3 linked regions of the Saccharomyces cerevisiae S288C genome follow. The protein of the gene in region 1 interacts with the protein of each later gene in a biochemical or structural test. Each region holds a gene or a part of one and is shown on either strand. Other genes may lie near its edges.

Evidence for each region. The genes of interacting proteins can lie anywhere in the genome.
Region 2: the proteins of FUS3 (region 1) and STE5 form a complex in vitro, tested with the Saccharomyces cerevisiae proteins (6 studies listed by BioGRID, with this or other methods).
Region 3: the proteins of FUS3 (region 1) and DIG2 form a complex in vitro, tested with the Saccharomyces cerevisiae proteins (6 studies listed by BioGRID, with this or other methods).

The regions. Positions count from the first base shown.
Region 1 is NC_001134.8:188,724-195,474, forward strand, and holds FUS3 (mitogen-activated serine/threonine-protein kinase FUS3), read left to right. Parts: upstream 1-3,727; coding exon 3,728-4,789; downstream 4,790-6,751. Other genes in the region: PEP1 (type I sorting receptor), read right to left, coding at 1-2,860; ACH1 (acetyl-CoA hydrolase), read left to right, coding at 5,399-6,751. UniProt on the Saccharomyces cerevisiae protein: Together with closely related KSS1, FUS3 is the final kinase in the signal transduction cascade regulating activation/repression of the mating and filamentation pathways, induced by pheromone and nitrogen/carbon limitation, respectively.
Region 2 is NC_001136.10:656,686-663,407, forward strand, and holds STE5 (Ste5p), read left to right. Parts: upstream 1-1,664; coding exon 1,665-4,418; downstream 4,419-6,722. Other genes in the region: ARX1 (putative hydrolase), read right to left, coding at 1-782; YDR102C (uncharacterized protein), read right to left, coding at 963-1,295; SPO71 (Spo71p), read right to left, coding at 4,488-6,722. UniProt on the Saccharomyces cerevisiae protein: Component of the pheromone signal transduction pathway. It mediates pheromone signals acting between STE20 and STE11. It is absolutely required for pheromone-induced transcription of FUS1. May play a role in cell-cycle arrest in response to pheromone.
Region 3 is NC_001136.10:1,415,472-1,420,674, reverse strand, and holds DIG2 (Dig2p), read right to left. Parts: upstream 3,277-5,203; coding exon 2,305-3,276; downstream 1-2,304. Other genes in the region: U2-type spliceosomal complex subunit CWC21, read left to right, coding at 1-244; alkaline phosphatase PHO8, read left to right, coding at 425-2,125; PEX29 (Pex29p), read left to right, coding at 3,801-5,203. UniProt on the Saccharomyces cerevisiae protein: DIG2 and DIG1 are negative regulators of the filamentation and pheromone induced mating program. DIG1 and DIG2 inhibit the transcriptional activity of STE12 by direct protein-protein interaction.

The DNA of each region.
Region 1 (6,751 bases):
TTACGTATGCTCTCAATTCGTTGTTCTCATGAGGAACAGCAACGATGATATAGCCACCAGTGGATAAGTAGCCGATAATATTTTCAAAGACGGTATTTTTATCATCCTGGAAAAAATCAGTAGAAGAAACTAAGCTTCTTGTCTGCGAAGACTTTTCCTTCACTTGACACATAACCATATCCTCATTTGACGGATATTTGAAAAGTGAGCCCGCAAACTCACAATGAATTGCATTATCAAGCATTTCCGTAAACGTTTCGCCCCCATCATTGGTCAGGTATGCTACCGCATGACATTCCGGACTTAAGATTGACTCACAATTCTTACCACCATAATAGATAAATGTATCCTGTGCCTTAGCGTTAAAGTCTAATGGCATACCTAACTGCCTAGCCTCGGGCAATTTAGCAGTCATAAAAGAGTATCCCCTATCATGGGTAGAGAAAATGCTACCTTTGGAACCAAACAGATAAGCTGAAGAATTGTAGTATGGATTAAACACAACTTCAATAATTGTTTCACCATTACTGTCGAACCTTTTTATTGTTTGTCCACCATCATGAGATATATAAGCTTCTCCTCTTGAATTGATCATGAGGAGGGATTCGTCGGTGACTGTGTCAAAGTATTGATAGAATTGAATCTTGAAATCAAATTTGTTTTCTGTAACCACTATTTCTTTATCATTCGTTCCCTTCTTTGGAACTCCCTCACACGAAATATCCACTGATTTGACTGTCATTGGTTTTTTACATTTATCACCTTTAACTAGTTGCAATGGTTTTACAGGCACAGTTTTTTTCTTTGTCTTATCACATACGTCAGAGAGAACGATTAGGTTGTAGTCTGGTACGCATTTCCCGGTCGCGTCCCTAACAAATTCAAACGCGCATTCGTAATCAGCCTCGGTACACTTGTCACAAGCAGTCTCAAATAATTGTAAGTCTTCAAAAACTTTCTTCACCAAGCACTGAGCGTCCTGTTTTCTTCTTCTGATCTTGTACTTGACTCCATTGACACACTTCCCCTCAGCTAAATTCCAATCCTCGAAATCATTTTCTTCGCATGTCTTATCATTAAAGGCTGTTGAAAAATCAATTGCATAGATGAAATTCGTTGTACCATCCATATGCGCCAAAGTAAACCCATTTAGAATAAATTTAGCTCCAGATCCGTCGGGCGTTGTATTCATTACTTCATTTGGGTAGATAGTAGTTTCTAGCTGATATTCGGTCCAAGTTTTACCTTGGTCTAAAGAGTAATAAAATTCGGATTGAGGATCGTCGTCTTCATCCGCATTATACGGTATAGCCACAATAACATTTCCGTAATCACCAACAGCGTATAAACAAGGAAAATCAAAGGCGAGTTTCCATGTTAAGCCACCATCCCTAGAAATAAAGGTTCTTTGATCTCCCCAGTCGAAGACACTACCATCGCCAACAATACCTGTTGTCATTAGAATTCCGGCGGTTGGAGTGGAACCCTCCCGTGTGTAAAACATATTTTGAAGCGAACAATTCTCAAAATCAGTAATATCACAGTCGAATGAGTCTGCGTTATCTGGATCAACAACTTTTAACATTGTCCATGTGAGGCCATTATCAACAGATATTTTGGTTACCCCCTTACTCTTTACTCCTTTGGCTTTTCCTTTACGGTTACGACGCCTAGATAGAGGGTAAAGTGAGGCAATCATCGTTCCTTTCAAGTAAGTAGGTTGATAAAAATTAATATAACCAAACACCTCATTTGCGGTCCATGGGATGGGGGAAAATTTTAACCCTTGTGAGTCGGAAATTAAAATTTCAGACACGATGCCCTTATCCTCCTCTTGATCACTTCTTTCCCTACTCATGGGCAAGATAATTCTTCCCATAGCGTCCTCATATATTTCTCCTTGCATAGAATGCCTTAACTGAGTAGGCATGTAAGCCATTTTAAAGTTTGACAGATCATTTGATACCCACACATCCATGGAAGACATATCATTATATCTGTCGCCCTGGGTTAAGACAACCATGTGAGATTTCAATATCCTGTAACCATTGACGACCTTATCTTTAAATTGGTCAAATTCTTTTAGTGATTTGCCCCAGTCCGTAGTTAGGACCAATTTACTTTCGGTGTAAGGAGAACTAAACTCATCCATAATAAGCTGCATATTTTGAAAAAGACAGATTATTGAGGTATCACTACTTTCAAGGTCAGAATCTTTGCTGGTCTTGGCAAAGCCACAATCAGAAATGCTGATAGGACTATTTTCGTTCCTTTCTAGAGAAGACTTGATCTCAGAAAAGGATTTTCCACCATCATTACTTGCAAAAACCTTGTCTGTGCAACGTGTAATATTAAATATTTCAAATTGTCCCTCTTCGTCCCCCGAATTCTCTTCATTGTCATTGTTTACTTCTGTTTTCTCACAATAGTTGCACTTTGCAAGAAAATAGTTCTTATTCAAGGGATGGGTTTCTATATAGCATTCACGAGGTGAAATACTTTCTCCGGAGTCAGGTAGCGTTATACGCTCCCATGACTTACCTTGATCATTGGTTATATAAAGGTACGACCCATTCATTGCCGTTGCAACGGCTCTGTCATGTCTATTGAAGGGGTCGATGTATATCCAAGTGATTTCGCCTTCAATGCCTTCAACTTTTTCCCATGTTTCACCATCGTCAAAGCTTATAGTAACGGAGGTGTCTTGTTTTCTAATTAAAGTGTTGGAATCATCAAAGCTTAATATATCAAATGAATCTTGCGCGATAGTCTTTGTCACTTTGGGGGTGAATTCTTCGGCATTAGTTAAAGGAATGAGAAGTAAGGCCCAAAGAGAATAGACAAAATGAAGTAATATCATAACGTGTGATGACTACTGGACACTTCAGGGCTTTTCCAGATATACAGAGCTTTATAATACAATCTAAGGGCAAAATAAAAAAGGAAAAAGAGTACGGTAGTTGAGAAAAAAACCGGAAAGGAATTGCTTTAAAGATCTTAGTAGAATGAAATAGTACCACCTACTCGCCTCCTTTTTTTGTGCTTCTTGAGAGGTCTTTTGAGCTGTTGCATCATGCTGTTATTTAGAGGTTATTTTTTGACCTTGGTTTTTCCTTCTTTTCGCCGTACTCAGCCCGAGAAAAAAGCAGCGACTGCACTAAACTAGAGGAAAGAAGGCTTAAAACATCACGCGATCCATATAAAGACCCGAGTAGTTGGAGAGATTGACTACTTGACGTTCAAAAGAACATACATAAGGATAAATTCGTTCGGACTTTTTAACTTACACACATCTTTTGGTGTTCATTCAAGGGGCGGTAGTGCTTGTAGTCCGCACAGGCGGATACTTTTTAGTTTGGGAAGAGTTAACTGGAGAGGGCAGTTTACTTTCACATACTCTTTTATCTTTCTGAAGTAAAATGTGATGTACCTACAAGCAATGCATAAGCTCTTGAGTTTTAGATCTGTTTCACCCTGGAACTCAAAATTCTTTTACTCGAAATTTTTACTTTTTTTTTTTTTGTTTCTGCATTCTCTCAGATTTTAGATGATGCGGTTTTTTACAGGGCATTGAAACAATTGCAGAAAAGCAACATACTAATATATCATAACTTTTTACTCTTGCCTCTCAGAAACTATATATACGTTGTAATCATTTTCTTTCTTCTAATAGCTAGTTCGTTTGAACTACAAGGAAATAAGGCAGAGAAAAAGAAAGGAAAATAATATGCCAAAGAGAATTGTATACAATATATCCAGTGACTTCCAGTTGAAGTCGTTACTGGGAGAGGGTGCATACGGTGTGGTATGTTCTGCAACGCATAAGCCCACGGGAGAAATCGTGGCAATAAAAAAGATCGAACCATTCGATAAGCCTTTGTTCGCATTACGTACGCTGCGTGAAATAAAGATCCTGAAGCACTTCAAGCACGAAAATATCATAACAATCTTCAACATTCAACGCCCTGACTCGTTCGAAAACTTCAATGAGGTCTACATAATTCAAGAGCTAATGCAGACAGATTTACACCGTGTAATCTCCACCCAGATGCTGAGTGACGATCATATACAATATTTTATATACCAAACCTTGAGAGCAGTGAAAGTGCTGCATGGTTCGAACGTCATCCATCGTGATTTAAAGCCCTCCAACCTTCTCATAAACTCCAACTGTGACTTGAAAGTATGTGATTTCGGTTTAGCAAGAATCATTGACGAGTCAGCCGCGGACAATTCAGAGCCCACAGGTCAGCAAAGCGGCATGACCGAGTATGTGGCCACACGTTGGTACAGGGCGCCAGAGGTGATGTTAACCTCTGCCAAATACTCAAGGGCCATGGACGTGTGGTCCTGCGGATGTATTCTCGCTGAACTTTTCTTAAGACGGCCAATCTTCCCTGGCAGAGATTATCGCCATCAACTACTACTGATATTCGGTATCATCGGTACACCTCACTCAGATAATGATTTGCGGTGTATAGAGTCACCCAGGGCTAGAGAGTACATAAAGTCGCTTCCCATGTACCCTGCCGCGCCACTGGAGAAGATGTTCCCTCGAGTCAACCCGAAAGGCATAGATCTTTTACAGCGTATGCTTGTTTTTGACCCTGCGAAGAGGATTACTGCTAAGGAGGCACTGGAGCATCCGTATTTGCAAACATACCACGATCCAAACGACGAACCTGAAGGCGAACCCATCCCACCCAGCTTCTTCGAGTTTGATCACTACAAGGAGGCACTAACGACGAAAGACCTCAAGAAACTCATTTGGAACGAAATATTTAGTTAGCCATCATTATCATTAAAATATCAACCCGAAGAACAATGTATACATATACATATACGTACACATATACATATGTACATATGACATACGTATTAGCCGCTGAGGACGCGGACGTATAAAAGGACAATACTTATATGGAGCTAAGGGGAGCAGTTACGCAACTCCGTGATCGCGCGCCACGGGCCGTCGGCGGCTGTTAATTGAAGAAAAAAAAAATGAAGAACCACAAGGGGTGATCCATATAGGTGACTAGCATCATCCCCTGCGACGCGCGGCCCGCCGGGCCAAAGGCGGGCAATGCGCGCTGCTGATTGGCCTCGAGGACAACGCCCTCAACCACATCCGCAACAGCCAATCCCATCGGAGCGTCAAACTACCAAAGTAGTGATTGTATGGATGACCACTGTATTGTGGACGGTAAGCGCTTGCTGGAGCAAATGTGTAATCAAGTTGCTGTGTATATATAGACGTTAGATGTGTTCTACCCCTTCTTTTGTCTTGTGCCCACCGGGCTTACATTAGCACACAAAGCAGCAAGAGACCGTCTTACTAGACAATAGCGGCAAAACAAACAACACATTTCTTTTTTTCTTTTTCACATATTGCACTAAAATGACAATTTCTAATTTGTTAAAGCAGAGAGTTAGGTATGCTCCCTATCTGAAAAAAGTTAAGGAAGCTCACGAGCTTATTCCATTGTTCAAGAATGGTCAGTACCTTGGGTGGTCCGGTTTTACAGGAGTGGGTACTCCCAAGGCAGTGCCGGAGGCACTGATAGATCACGTGGAGAAGAACAATTTACAAGGGAAGTTGAGATTCAACCTTTTTGTTGGAGCTTCTGCTGGTCCAGAGGAAAACCGTTGGGCTGAACACGACATGATCATTAAGAGAGCCCCTCATCAAGTAGGGAAACCCATTGCAAAGGCAATTAACCAGGGTAGAATTGAGTTCTTTGATAAACATCTGTCCATGTTCCCTCAGGATCTGACATACGGGTTCTACACCAGGGAAAGAAAAGACAACAAAATCCTTGATTATACTATAATCGAGGCAACGGCCATTAAAGAGGACGGGTCTATCGTCCCAGGTCCCTCTGTCGGTGGTTCTCCAGAATTCATTACAGTCAGTGATAAAGTGATTATTGAGGTTAACACGGCTACGCCTTCGTTCGAGGGTATTCACGATATAGACATGCCCGTGAACCCACCTTTCAGGAAACCATACCCATATCTGAAAGTGGACGACAAGTGTGGTGTTGACTCCATCCCGGTTGATCCTGAAAAGGTTGTTGCGATTGTGGAGTCCACCATGAGGGACCAGGTCCCACCAAATACGCCCTCTGACGACATGTCCAGGGCTATTGCAGGTCATTTGGTCGAGTTTTTCAGAAACGAGGTAAAACATGGTAGGCTACCTGAAAACCTGCTGCCTTTACAAAGTGGTATAGGTAACATTGCTAACGCTGTCATTGAAGGGCTTGCTGGCGCCCAATTCAAGCACTTGACTGTATGGACGGAAGTGCTGCAGGACTCGTTCTTGGATCTTTTCGAGAACGGATCTTTGGACTACGCCACTGCTACTTCCGTGAGATTGACTGAAAAGGGTTTCGACAGAGCCTTTGCAAACTGGGAAAATTTCAAACACAGATTGTGTTTGAGATCTCAAGTTGTCTCGAACAATCCGGAAATGATCCGTAGATTGGGTGTCATCGCCATGAATACCCCAGTAGAAGTTGACATTTACGCGCACGCCAATTCTACAAATGTGAATGGTTCCCGTATGTTGAACGGGTTGGGTGGATCTGCTGATTTCTTGAGAAATGCAAAGTTGTCCATCATGCATGCCCCCTCTGCAAGACCAACTAAAGTAGACCCTACCGGTATCTCTACCATTGTTCCTATGGCCTCTCATGTAGATCAAACTGAGCATGACCTGGACATCTTGGTCACTGACCAAGGTTTGGCG
Region 2 (6,722 bases), on another chromosome or scaffold:
TCGGCAACAATACCTTCGTTTTGGCCTGCCAGGAATCTTCTAATCCTTCTTACACGAGAACCAGGAACAACGCCACAGTTATAAGATCTGGCAATAGTATCCACTATAGTTCTAATCAATTGGCCTGTGATACCACTTGAAGTTCCTCCCAGTGAGGCAGGAAGCTTTTCTGGAGTCAGAGCACAGGCTAATAAAGCAACAACTGTTTCCATAGCAATGTGAGCAGCAGCTACAGCATCCGCTTTACCACCTAGTAGTGGCCCAGTGGGTTGAAGAATAGGTTTGGTTTCATCAACGGGGTAAATAACCATAGTATGAGAAACTTCAGAGGTGTAACCATCAATATGAACACCTAGTGTAATCTTGACTAAATCCCCCGGTCTCAAAGTCCCAGTGACAGATGATGCAAAAGTGGAGTCTTTCCCCTTATTCCAGTTTAACAAATTTTGAGTATCATCTATTTCGGGGCACCATCCACCAGAAATTTGGTCGATATCAATAGTGGTTGGAATGGCAATACCTCTTTCATTAACTTTGTTTTTATAATATTGTTCCAACCGGGTCAAAATAAAAGAATCGGTAAGCAAACATAGCTCTGGCACGGTTAATTGGCGCTGTGTGGTCTTAGAGTGATATGAATCATTGATCAAAGAAGTAACATATTTCAAAGCAGTTTGTGCGATTTGTCCAGCAGTTCTGTATTTGTTCAAGACCGATTCCTGTAGAATATTTTTGTCCTTTAGCAAAATCTGAGTATCCTCGTGGGAGATAGCTAGAGCCATGATAGTTTTAGCAATATTAGTCGGGTCGGGTTTTTTCTTAAAAGTATTTTGAATAACACGATGCTTTAGCTCATCTCATCTCTTCTGCTGAAATTTTTCTTTACTTCGGTAAAATTTTTTCAGAAAGCAAAAAAAGCTTCACAGAGGCATGACCCTCTCCGGGTAAAAAAAAGCTTAGGGTTACCGGCCTGTCATTTTTAGGGCATTATCAATTTTTTGCCATCTAGTTGCAACTATAATAATACAGTATGAATTGCACGAAAGAGCAGTCAATGTAAATTCACGAAGTGACTGACAGAATACTGACATCAGCTGATTTCTCATAGAGCTGTTTCTCTGATAACACGTTGTTTGAACATCGACAAGATGAAAATCTAGAAGTATCAAGTTTCCTTTAAAGGGATATATAACAGATTCTAAAACTGACAGAAATATTTCGAGTGAAGAAGAAGCGTTAAATATTGGATCTTTCCGCAGTTCTACTCTGATACATTTTTGAAGTAGGAGAGTCATTTAGAAGGCGTATTGCTCAATAGTAGAAAGCAGGCCTGTGCACATGAATTAATTAAAAAATATAAAGGTAGTGATTAGACGACACATGTCCATAGGTAACCTGTCATAATTTTGAACAATTTCCCTTCTTTTCTTTTTTTTTTTTGGGTGCGGCGATATGTAGCTTGTTAATTTACACATCATGTACTTTTCTGCATCAAAATATGAAAGGCGATAGTAGCTAAAGAAAATACCGAGAATTTCCTCGAAAAGTTGACGACAAAAGAAAGGCATAAAAAAGTAATTTGAAAATATTTTAAAACTGTTTTAACCCATCTAGCATCCGCGCTAAAAAAGGAAGATACAGGATACAGCGGAAACAACTTTTAAATGATGGAAACTCCTACAGACAATATAGTTTCCCCTTTTCACAATTTTGGTAGCTCGACACAATATAGTGGTACCTTGTCGAGAACTCCCAACCAAATAATAGAGCTAGAGAAGCCCAGTACTCTATCCCCATTGTCAAGAGGAAAAAAATGGACGGAAAAGTTAGCCAGGTTCCAAAGAAGTAGTGCTAAAAAGAAAAGATTCTCACCTTCTCCTATTTCCTCCTCTACATTTTCGTTCTCACCCAAATCTAGGGTCACTTCTTCAAACTCTTCTGGCAATGAAGACGGTAACCTAATGAATACACCTTCTACGGTTTCCACTGATTATTTGCCACAACACCCTCACAGAACATCGTCTTTGCCAAGACCTAATTCCAATCTCTTTCACGCAAGTAATAGTAACCTATCCCGAGCAAATGAGCCCCCAAGGGCCGAAAATTTATCAGATAATATACCACCCAAGGTCGCTCCATTTGGCTATCCAATACAAAGAACCTCTATTAAAAAATCCTTTTTGAATGCTTCTTGTACGTTATGTGACGAGCCTATTTCTAACAGAAGAAAGGGAGAGAAAATTATAGAGCTTGCATGTGGCCACTTAAGTCACCAAGAATGTCTTATTATCTCTTTTGGCACCACTTCAAAGGCAGACGTTCGTGCGCTATTTCCTTTTTGTACCAAATGTAAAAAAGATACTAACAAAGCCGTTCAATGCATTCCAGAAAATGATGAACTAAAGGATATTCTAATTTCTGATTTTTTGATTCATAAGATTCCTGATTCTGAGTTATCAATCACACCTCAGTCCCGCTTTCCTCCTTATTCACCACTCTTGCCTCCTTTTGGGTTATCCTATACACCTGTTGAAAGACAAACGATATATTCTCAAGCTCCAAGTCTAAACCCAAATCTCATATTGGCTGCACCCCCCAAGGAAAGAAACCAAATTCCACAAAAAAAATCAAACTATACATTTTTACATTCACCCCTGGGGCACAGAAGAATTCCGTCCGGAGCAAACTCTATCTTAGCAGACACCTCTGTAGCGTTGTCAGCTAATGATTCTATTTCTGCTGTTTCCAATTCGGTAAGAGCAAAGGATGACGAAACCAAAACAACGTTGCCGCTGTTAAGGTCATATTTTATTCAAATTCTTTTGAACAATTTCCAGGAAGAATTGCAGGATTGGAGAATAGACGGGGACTATGGATTACTAAGGTTGGTAGACAAATTGATGATTTCCAAAGATGGTCAGAGATATATACAATGCTGGTGTTTCTTATTTGAAGACGCATTTGTAATAGCAGAAGTGGATAACGATGTTGATGTTTTGGAAATTAGACTAAAGAATTTAGAAGTATTTACACCTATTGCCAACTTGAGAATGACTACACTCGAAGCTTCAGTACTCAAATGCACCTTAAATAAACAACATTGCGCCGATTTATCAGATCTTTACATTGTTCAGAATATAAATTCTGACGAAAGCACAACTGTACAGAAATGGATATCAGGTATATTGAATCAGGATTTTGTATTCAATGAGGACAATATCACTTCGACCCTGCCTATTCTTCCCATTATAAAGAACTTTTCAAAAGATGTTGGTAATGGTAGGCACGAGACGAGTACCTTTCTAGGTTTAATCAATCCTAACAAAGTTGTTGAAGTTGGAAATGTGCACGATAATGATACTGTAATCATAAGGAGGGGATTCACCTTAAATTCAGGAGAATGTTCTAGGCAGAGTACTGTCGACAGTATACAATCTGTTCTAACCACGATAAGCTCAATTCTTTCCCTTAAACGAGAAAAACCTGATAATTTGGCAATAATCTTACAGATCGATTTTACGAAATTGAAGGAAGAAGACAGTTTAATTGTTGTTTATAACAGTCTAAAAGCTTTAACCATTAAATTTGCGCGTTTGCAGTTTTGTTTCGTTGATCGAAATAATTATGTTCTGGACTATGGATCGGTATTACACAAGATAGATTCACTAGATTCCATCTCAAATCTCAAATCAAAGAGTTCCTCGACACAATTTTCACCTATTTGGTTGAAAAATACTCTATATCCCGAAAATATTCATGAACATTTGGGTATTGTTGCTGTATCAAATAGTAATATGGAAGCAAAAAAATCCATACTATTTCAAGATTACAGATGCTTTACAAGTTTTGGAAGAAGAAGGCCCAATGAATTGAAGATTAAGGTGGGCTATTTGAACGTTGACTACAGTGATAAAATTGATGAACTAGTCGAGGCCAGCTCCTGGACTTTTGTTTTAGAAACTCTTTGCTACAGTTTCGGTCTAAGTTTTGATGAACATGATGACGATGACGAAGAGGATAATGATGATTCGACCGATAATGAACTTGATAATAGTTCAGGATCACTGTCGGATGCTGAATCTACAACTACTATTCATATTGATTCTCCATTTGATAATGAAAATGCTACCGCAAATATGGTGAATGACAGAAACCTTCTCACTGAGGGTGAACATAGCAATATAGAAAACTTAGAAACTGTCGCTTCTTCAGTACAGCCAGCTCTGATTCCTAATATTAGATTTTCACTTCATTCTGAGGAGGAAGGTACTAATGAAAATGAAAATGAAAATGATATGCCAGTATTATTACTTAGTGATATGGATAAAGGAATCGATGGCATAACCAGACGCAGTTCATTCTCGAGTCTTATAGAGAGCGGTAATAACAACTGTCCCCTCCATATGGATTATATATAGAGTATACACTAAATTTTATGCAATAATAAAAAGAAAGCATCCCGCCAAACGTTTCGTAACTACATATTGTTACATAGTTTGATTCCGTGAATTTGAAGTGGACGCAGTTCTTCTTAGTCTTTCAAGTTCATAGTAAATAGACATTACCCAAAGATCTCTTTCCTGTCTTGATCTTGCCATGAAAACCATTGACTTGCCGCTCACACCTAACTTTTTAGTGAAATGGATCTTATCTGTGTTACTTGGAACATTAGAGTTATTCAAGTCAGCTTCCGGAGCAGAAGGTGGGTCAATATTATTATCTTGTCTACCATAATCTTGCGTATATTGCTTTTCATTCCCTTTCTTCTGTAAGCGATTGCTAGAAAGGGCACGCCTTGTTCCAAACCAAAGCGTAAAGCATCGCGAACTCTCGTCTTCTACAGATCGCCATCCGTCCCCATAAACTCGTGGGAGAGCGTGGGATCCATAGTTTATTTCGTCAAAAGTACGATCTCTCTGCAGAAGGTCTAGTTCTGTTGTGGTCCCAGAGTATAGGTAGCAATCGTCAATCGGAATGGTTACATAATGAGCATACTCCAAAACTTCCTTAGCAAAACCTGTGGTTGATCTATGAAAGCAGTGGAACAGTACAATAAAACCTGATATCAAAACGACGTAGTACTTCGAGAAAACAGAATGCTTGTGCGGCTTTTGATATAAAGGTCCCTTTTGAATTAACGGCCTACTTAATGATATTCCATTTGCATTAAAGGTTTGCTCATCTGCACGCCCATGTTCTACGATCCAGCGCAATGTATTCTCACCAATTTTTGTTTCCTCTTCTCCATTTAGCATCAAAAGACCTGCATTTGAACGCCTTATTTTTAAAAGCCTCTCCGTATCTTCCCTTTGCTTGTTTTTCCAATAGGATATCATTTGTTTCAGCTTTATGACCCACTCTTCAGCAACTGTTGCTGATGTAGCAAGCAGCTTCAAGAGGAGTCCATTTGAGGTTTCTATATTTATTACGGACCGTGAAACATCATCAATCTCGTAGTTTCTATGCCAAAAGATTTCACTAGCTTCCTTGTAAACCCCATATTTTATTTTGTCTGCTTCGTAATCAGTCCTTGTTCCTTGATATATATCTTTCACCTCAGTTAGGTCAATCACATTGTCCGTTTTTAGTATTTGATCAATCCTTCTATGAAAACAATGGAAAGCATAGAAATCTCTGGAATCATATTCACTTTGGGTCGTTTGACAGTTCATCCACTCGATGTGATCATTTGTGTCTAAGGGATAAGGTTGTTGCTCGTAAACCTCTGGAATTTTCTTCCACTGTTTCCAAATTTCTTCTTTTTCTATTTCTGTGCTAGTGTCGTCAATCATCGAATCTATAGGCAATGGTGGGTTTGCTCTATATGCTTTCATCGAAAAAAGCAAATTCTCACACGTGAAGAAGTAAGCTGTTGAAATACTATATTTACCAAAATTTGTCCTCGCAGAGCCATACTTGTCAGTCAATCTTATTAAAAAACCTTCAATAGGTGTTGGTTCTTTCAGACATTTTCCTTCTAAAGATTTTGTTTCCCTTAAACGATTCGCAATTGGCCTGTACTGGATTAGGTGAGATTGACAAAATGCAAAAATTCCAGTTACCAGAGAATCTTCATCACATGGAATCCACTCCAATCTATCATATCTTTTCAGGGCACATCCTAGTACAGGATTTTCTGTATCCCATTTTCTAATCAGATAGTCATAATGCGCCAATTTTAATTTCTCCAAAATAGCAACTGTGAAATATCGTAAAATGGGATGCTGGAAAATTTTATAACCTCTTTGAAGAAAACATATTTTTAATCTATCTTTTTCCTGCTTCCCTAAATCTATTAGCTTTTGGAATATAATTTCATTCAAGTTTATTTTTATCGAGATCTCAGTTAATGGAATTTTCAAGTTGATGGCAGGTGTAAATAGTTGTCGGTCCAAAGATTCTAGTAGAAATTTGTACCATCTACCAGACGAACGAATACTGCTGCATCTTAAGATAAAAATTTTAATGGGGGAATAGTGTTTTAATTCGTCCTTCTTTTCAATACTCTCGTCTATAAACCCACCTAACCGCTTATCAGGCTTTTGTATGGATATAGTTTTGTCTAGAGAGCTGTAGAATTTTACAATACAATTTCTTGAAAGAAAAAAATCCAACGGGTTGCGGTGATACTTTGTAGCTATGGAACTGATATCTTCGATTTCTGGGATATGACGATGACGATAGAACTGTAAAAGTATCGGGGGATCGAATCTTCCCGTGGA
Region 3 (5,203 bases), on another chromosome or scaffold:
CAGGCCTCTTGCTGTGCAGAAACAGATAGAGACTCATATGGAGAAACGTGAGATTGAAGTACAAGTTAGCGAGCTACGGGACCGACTGGAGGAGGAAGAAACGCTCTCGGAAGAGCAGATTGACAAGAAATGTGAAGCGTTGAGGGCAAAACTGACGAACGAGTGGCAAGAACAGCAGCGGATGTCCTCTTTGTACACCCCTCGTAAGGCGCGTCTAACGGAAGAGCAGCATCGACATGAATAGCAGCATTGACGATAGCGATAAGCTTCGCGCGTAGAGGAAAAGTAAAGGGATTTTAGTATATAAAGAAAGAAGTGTATCTAAACGTTTATATTTTTTCGTGCTCCACATTTTGCCAGCAAGTGGCTACATAAACATTTACATATCAGCATACGGGACATTATTTGAACGCGCATTAGCAGCATGATGACTCACACATTACCAAGCGAACAGACACGTCTTGTTCCTGGATCTGACTCGAGCTCTCGTCCTAAAAAGAGACGGATCTCGAAGAGATCAAAGATAATAGTATCCACTGTGGTCTGTATTGGTTTGTTGCTGGTTTTAGTGCAACTGGCATTTCCAAGCAGTTTTGCATTACGTTCTGCATCACACAAGAAGAAGAATGTCATATTCTTCGTGACGGATGGGATGGGACCTGCGTCTTTGTCCATGGCAAGATCATTCAACCAGCATGTTAATGATTTACCTATAGACGACATCCTGACACTTGACGAGCATTTTATCGGGTCTTCGAGAACAAGGTCCTCGGACTCACTAGTCACTGACTCAGCTGCGGGCGCCACCGCATTTGCATGTGCATTAAAGAGCTATAATGGGGCCATCGGTGTTGATCCGCATCACAGACCTTGTGGTACAGTGCTCGAGGCGGCTAAGTTAGCAGGTTATCTCACTGGGCTTGTTGTTACGACAAGAATCACAGATGCCACTCCGGCTTCATTCAGTTCACATGTTGATTACAGATGGCAGGAAGATCTTATCGCTACGCACCAGTTAGGCGAATATCCTCTGGGGAGAGTAGTAGACTTACTCATGGGTGGCGGCAGGAGCCATTTCTACCCTCAAGGCGAAAAGGCTTCTCCATATGGTCACCACGGTGCTAGAAAAGATGGAAGAGATTTAATCGATGAGGCTCAATCTAATGGCTGGCAGTACGTGGGTGACCGTAAAAATTTTGATTCTTTGTTGAAAAGCCACGGTGAAAACGTTACTTTACCTTTCTTGGGTCTCTTTGCAGATAACGACATTCCTTTTGAAATTGACAGAGATGAAAAGGAGTATCCTTCCCTTAAGGAACAAGTCAAGGTGGCTTTGGGTGCCTTGGAAAAAGCTTCCAATGAGGACAAAGATTCTAATGGGTTTTTCTTAATGGTGGAAGGCTCCAGAATTGATCATGCTGGTCACCAAAACGATCCAGCTTCGCAGGTAAGGGAGGTGTTGGCTTTCGATGAAGCATTCCAATACGTTTTGGAGTTTGCTGAAAATTCCGATACGGAGACTGTTTTGGTCTCTACGTCGGATCATGAAACGGGTGGTTTAGTCACTTCAAGACAAGTCACTGCTAGCTATCCTCAGTATGTCTGGTATCCACAGGTGCTCGCCAACGCCACCCATTCAGGTGAGTTTTTGAAAAGAAAACTAGTAGATTTTGTTCATGAGCATAAGGGCGCAAGCAGCAAAATAGAAAATTTCATCAAACATGAGATCCTGGAAAAAGATTTGGGTATTTACGATTACACGGATAGCGATTTAGAAACATTAATTCATTTGGATGACAACGCAAATGCTATCCAAGACAAACTGAATGACATGGTATCATTTAGGGCCCAAATTGGCTGGACCACGCATGGTCACAGCGCAGTCGACGTCAACATATATGCATACGCCAATAAGAAAGCTACATGGTCATATGTCTTGAACAATTTACAAGGCAATCACGAAAATACGGAAGTTGGCCAGTTCTTAGAAAACTTTTTAGAATTGAACCTGAACGAAGTCACTGATTTGATTAGGGACACCAAACACACATCAGATTTTGATGCTACAGAAATAGCTAGTGAAGTACAACATTATGACGAATACTACCATGAGTTGACCAACTGATCCTATCTAACTCTCCCTCTTTTTTCACATATTATTTAATACGTTATAATTTATTTGAATATATATATATATATATATATGTATATATACTAACCGCATGACACGTACTGTATCGCATTTCGTTTCGGAGTGCAGGCGAGTTTTAGGTGCATTCTATAGCGTGAAGAAGTGAAATCTCGTCATTTCTTCAAGTTATGCCATTCAGTCCAGATTGTTTCACATGCTTTCATATAGTCATTTTTGTCGTCGCGAACTTCAAATTTGAAAACATCATCATACAGAGAGATTTCTCCAATAATGATCCTTTCTTTGTCGTTGTCATCATCGGCATCGTCGTTAAGTGAAGCGCCCTCACTTAATGAATTTTTCGTGACAGAGCATTCAATGTCTTCATCAGTCTTACTTATGATTGGGTCTCCGTTGTGGTGTTTGGAGACAAAGGTTCTTTTTCTCGATGTCAAATCTTCCAAGTGTGGTGATCTACCAGCCAACTTCTTCCTCTTTGCATGGTAGTCGGCTGGTATTATACCATTATTATACAAGGGGCCGGGATACATCGGGGAATAATAGCCTTCGTATGCGTGCGTTTGTGTTGGAGTTGAAGAATATGGGTAGCATGGTACTGGTGGCAGTCCAGTATATGGATAAGGGTAGGTTGCTGTCATATATGAATTGGCCACTGAAGGATGATAATCTTGATTCGTAGGAGCCATCCTACCCATATATCTGACCCTAAGGCTATTTTTGTGCTGCGGAAATCTTGTTATGTTTGGTGGAGCACTTTTAGATCCATGCAAATGAGAAGATGCTTGTATATCGGAAAAATTTAGCGCTGGAGGTACCCTTTTCCTCTTTAAAGAATGATTCAGCGACTTAAAGGGTACGGTTTTCTCTGCTGGAGAAGTCGTAATGGTAGGAGGCTTACCACTATGATCTTCCTCTTTTTGCGACAGCCTAGATATGAGCAATTTTTGATTTTTTTCGATATCCCTGGATTTTTTGATCTTCGAAATCATTTTCTCACTCAATCTGTCTTCATCAAGCCCTGGAGATACTAACAGCATTCCCAGTTGCTGCAAATTCCTGGGATCATTTTCCTGAACAGTTGATATTTGCTCTTGCTGTGGGTCTTCTTGCTCTTCTTTATTCATAATTTTCCCTCTTTGCTTAAATATTCCTGCAGGCTTAACTATACCACATAAATACCACTGCAAGCAATAGAAATGAAAAATAACATTAATAACCAAAATTTAAATGGCTGTATGTTTATTGTTTATTTGATCTGCACATTATGTAATTATTGATAATTTAATAGACGTGTCCGCCGGGTGATGAAGCTGTGACATATCACAATTTTATGTGTACCTGTTGTATGTATACGCTCTAATGTCCGATATCATCATACGTGCATCACTTTGTAGCCTTCTAGGATGGCGTCTAGGTGAATACCGCCGTAGTGTTTAGGAAACTAATGTTATGGGTGGTTGTTGTTTCACTATCCAGTAATACTTTTGTGGTGAACTTAAGAAGCTTAGGGGTTACCCCTTCTTCTTGAACTAATTTTAAGAAATAACAACGAGGAATAGTGTGTATTTTTAATTACTGATCAGGCCGCATGAATATACTCACCTGTATACGTAGCAAAATTTCAGTCTCCTACTGTATATACGTCTAGATGGACTCGGTGACAAATTTTTTCTGGAATGACACCTATAATGCTGGTACTCCAACTAGATCAACTCTCAAGGGGAAGAAAGTGCAAAATGGCATAGATGGAAAAAGTCAGGCAAAGAAAGAGAGCATATCTAGTGGTTCTAGAACTAGTGATCCTACACGTGGTAGTCTGCCATCTTCCAGTGGACAGCCAACTAGTGGTGGCGGTTTTCCCTCGACATCAAACATCCAAAAGATGATGGCAGATACCCTGGTAGAGAAGATAATCAAAATGGCATTACCACCATCTTCCAAAACGGCTGTTGATACAATTCACCATCGTATGGTTGCTGGTAAAGAAAGGCCTAAGCTGTCTGTGCAGATCACGAGTAGGAATTTTATACAGATGAACTCGAGACTAGGGGTACCATTCATGATTATGGATGAATTAATAAAGATATTAAACTGGACTAACCCAGCGTATACAGTATCTATCATGTTCTTATACACGCTCATTATATTGAAACCTTTTCAAATGCTTTCTTCGCTCCCTATATTCTATTTGTTATTCTGCGTAATGGTCCCGCAATACCTTTACATTCATAAGCCAAACCCTACAAGCTATCTAGATAATAATCAAACACCAGCACAAGGCCCACCTTTGCGAAGACCTGAGGTTCCTAAACCAGTCCCTGAACTGAGCCAAGAATTTGTCTTAAACCTCACGGATTTACAAAACCATATGCTGCTATATGTTAAATTCTACGATTTTACTTTACTCATATTACAAAAGTTTGCATTCTTCACCAACGAGGCTATTTCGTCGTTTTATTTTATTGTATTGTTAATAATAGCAACATTAAATTTTCTGTACATGGATAAATTTATCAAGCTCATTCCAATGAGACCCGTACTGATACTGCTAGGTTGGGGTTTTTTTATTGCCTCGCATCCGTCCAATCGTGAATATTTGTTGACTAAATTGAATTCGGAGGAGACAAGATTAAAAACTTTGACTATAAGTACTAATCTGGAATCTAAGATTTTGCAGCATTTGAAACTCATTGAGGCTAGGGAGCACCGACTTGTTATGATCTTTGAGATCCAAAAGTATCTTCCTGAATACAAAGAATGGCGCCCAGTTGGATTCTCTGATGACGATTATTCTCTTTTCTCTAGTTTGAGAATATACCAGAGGCGTATTGAGGAAAATTCAGTGAAGTCATTAGAAGAAATTGAGCCACCTAAGGATTGGGAATGGGAAGCCAATTCTCATTGGGTGCTTGATTTGGATCCAAAAGAATGGGTAGAGGACGAATTTATTCAGTATGTCGAGATAGATTCAGAAACAAAATGGGTCTATGACCTCAATCTTGATGGACAAAGGGGCTCATATAGAAGGCGAATGTGGACCAACAGTTGCGT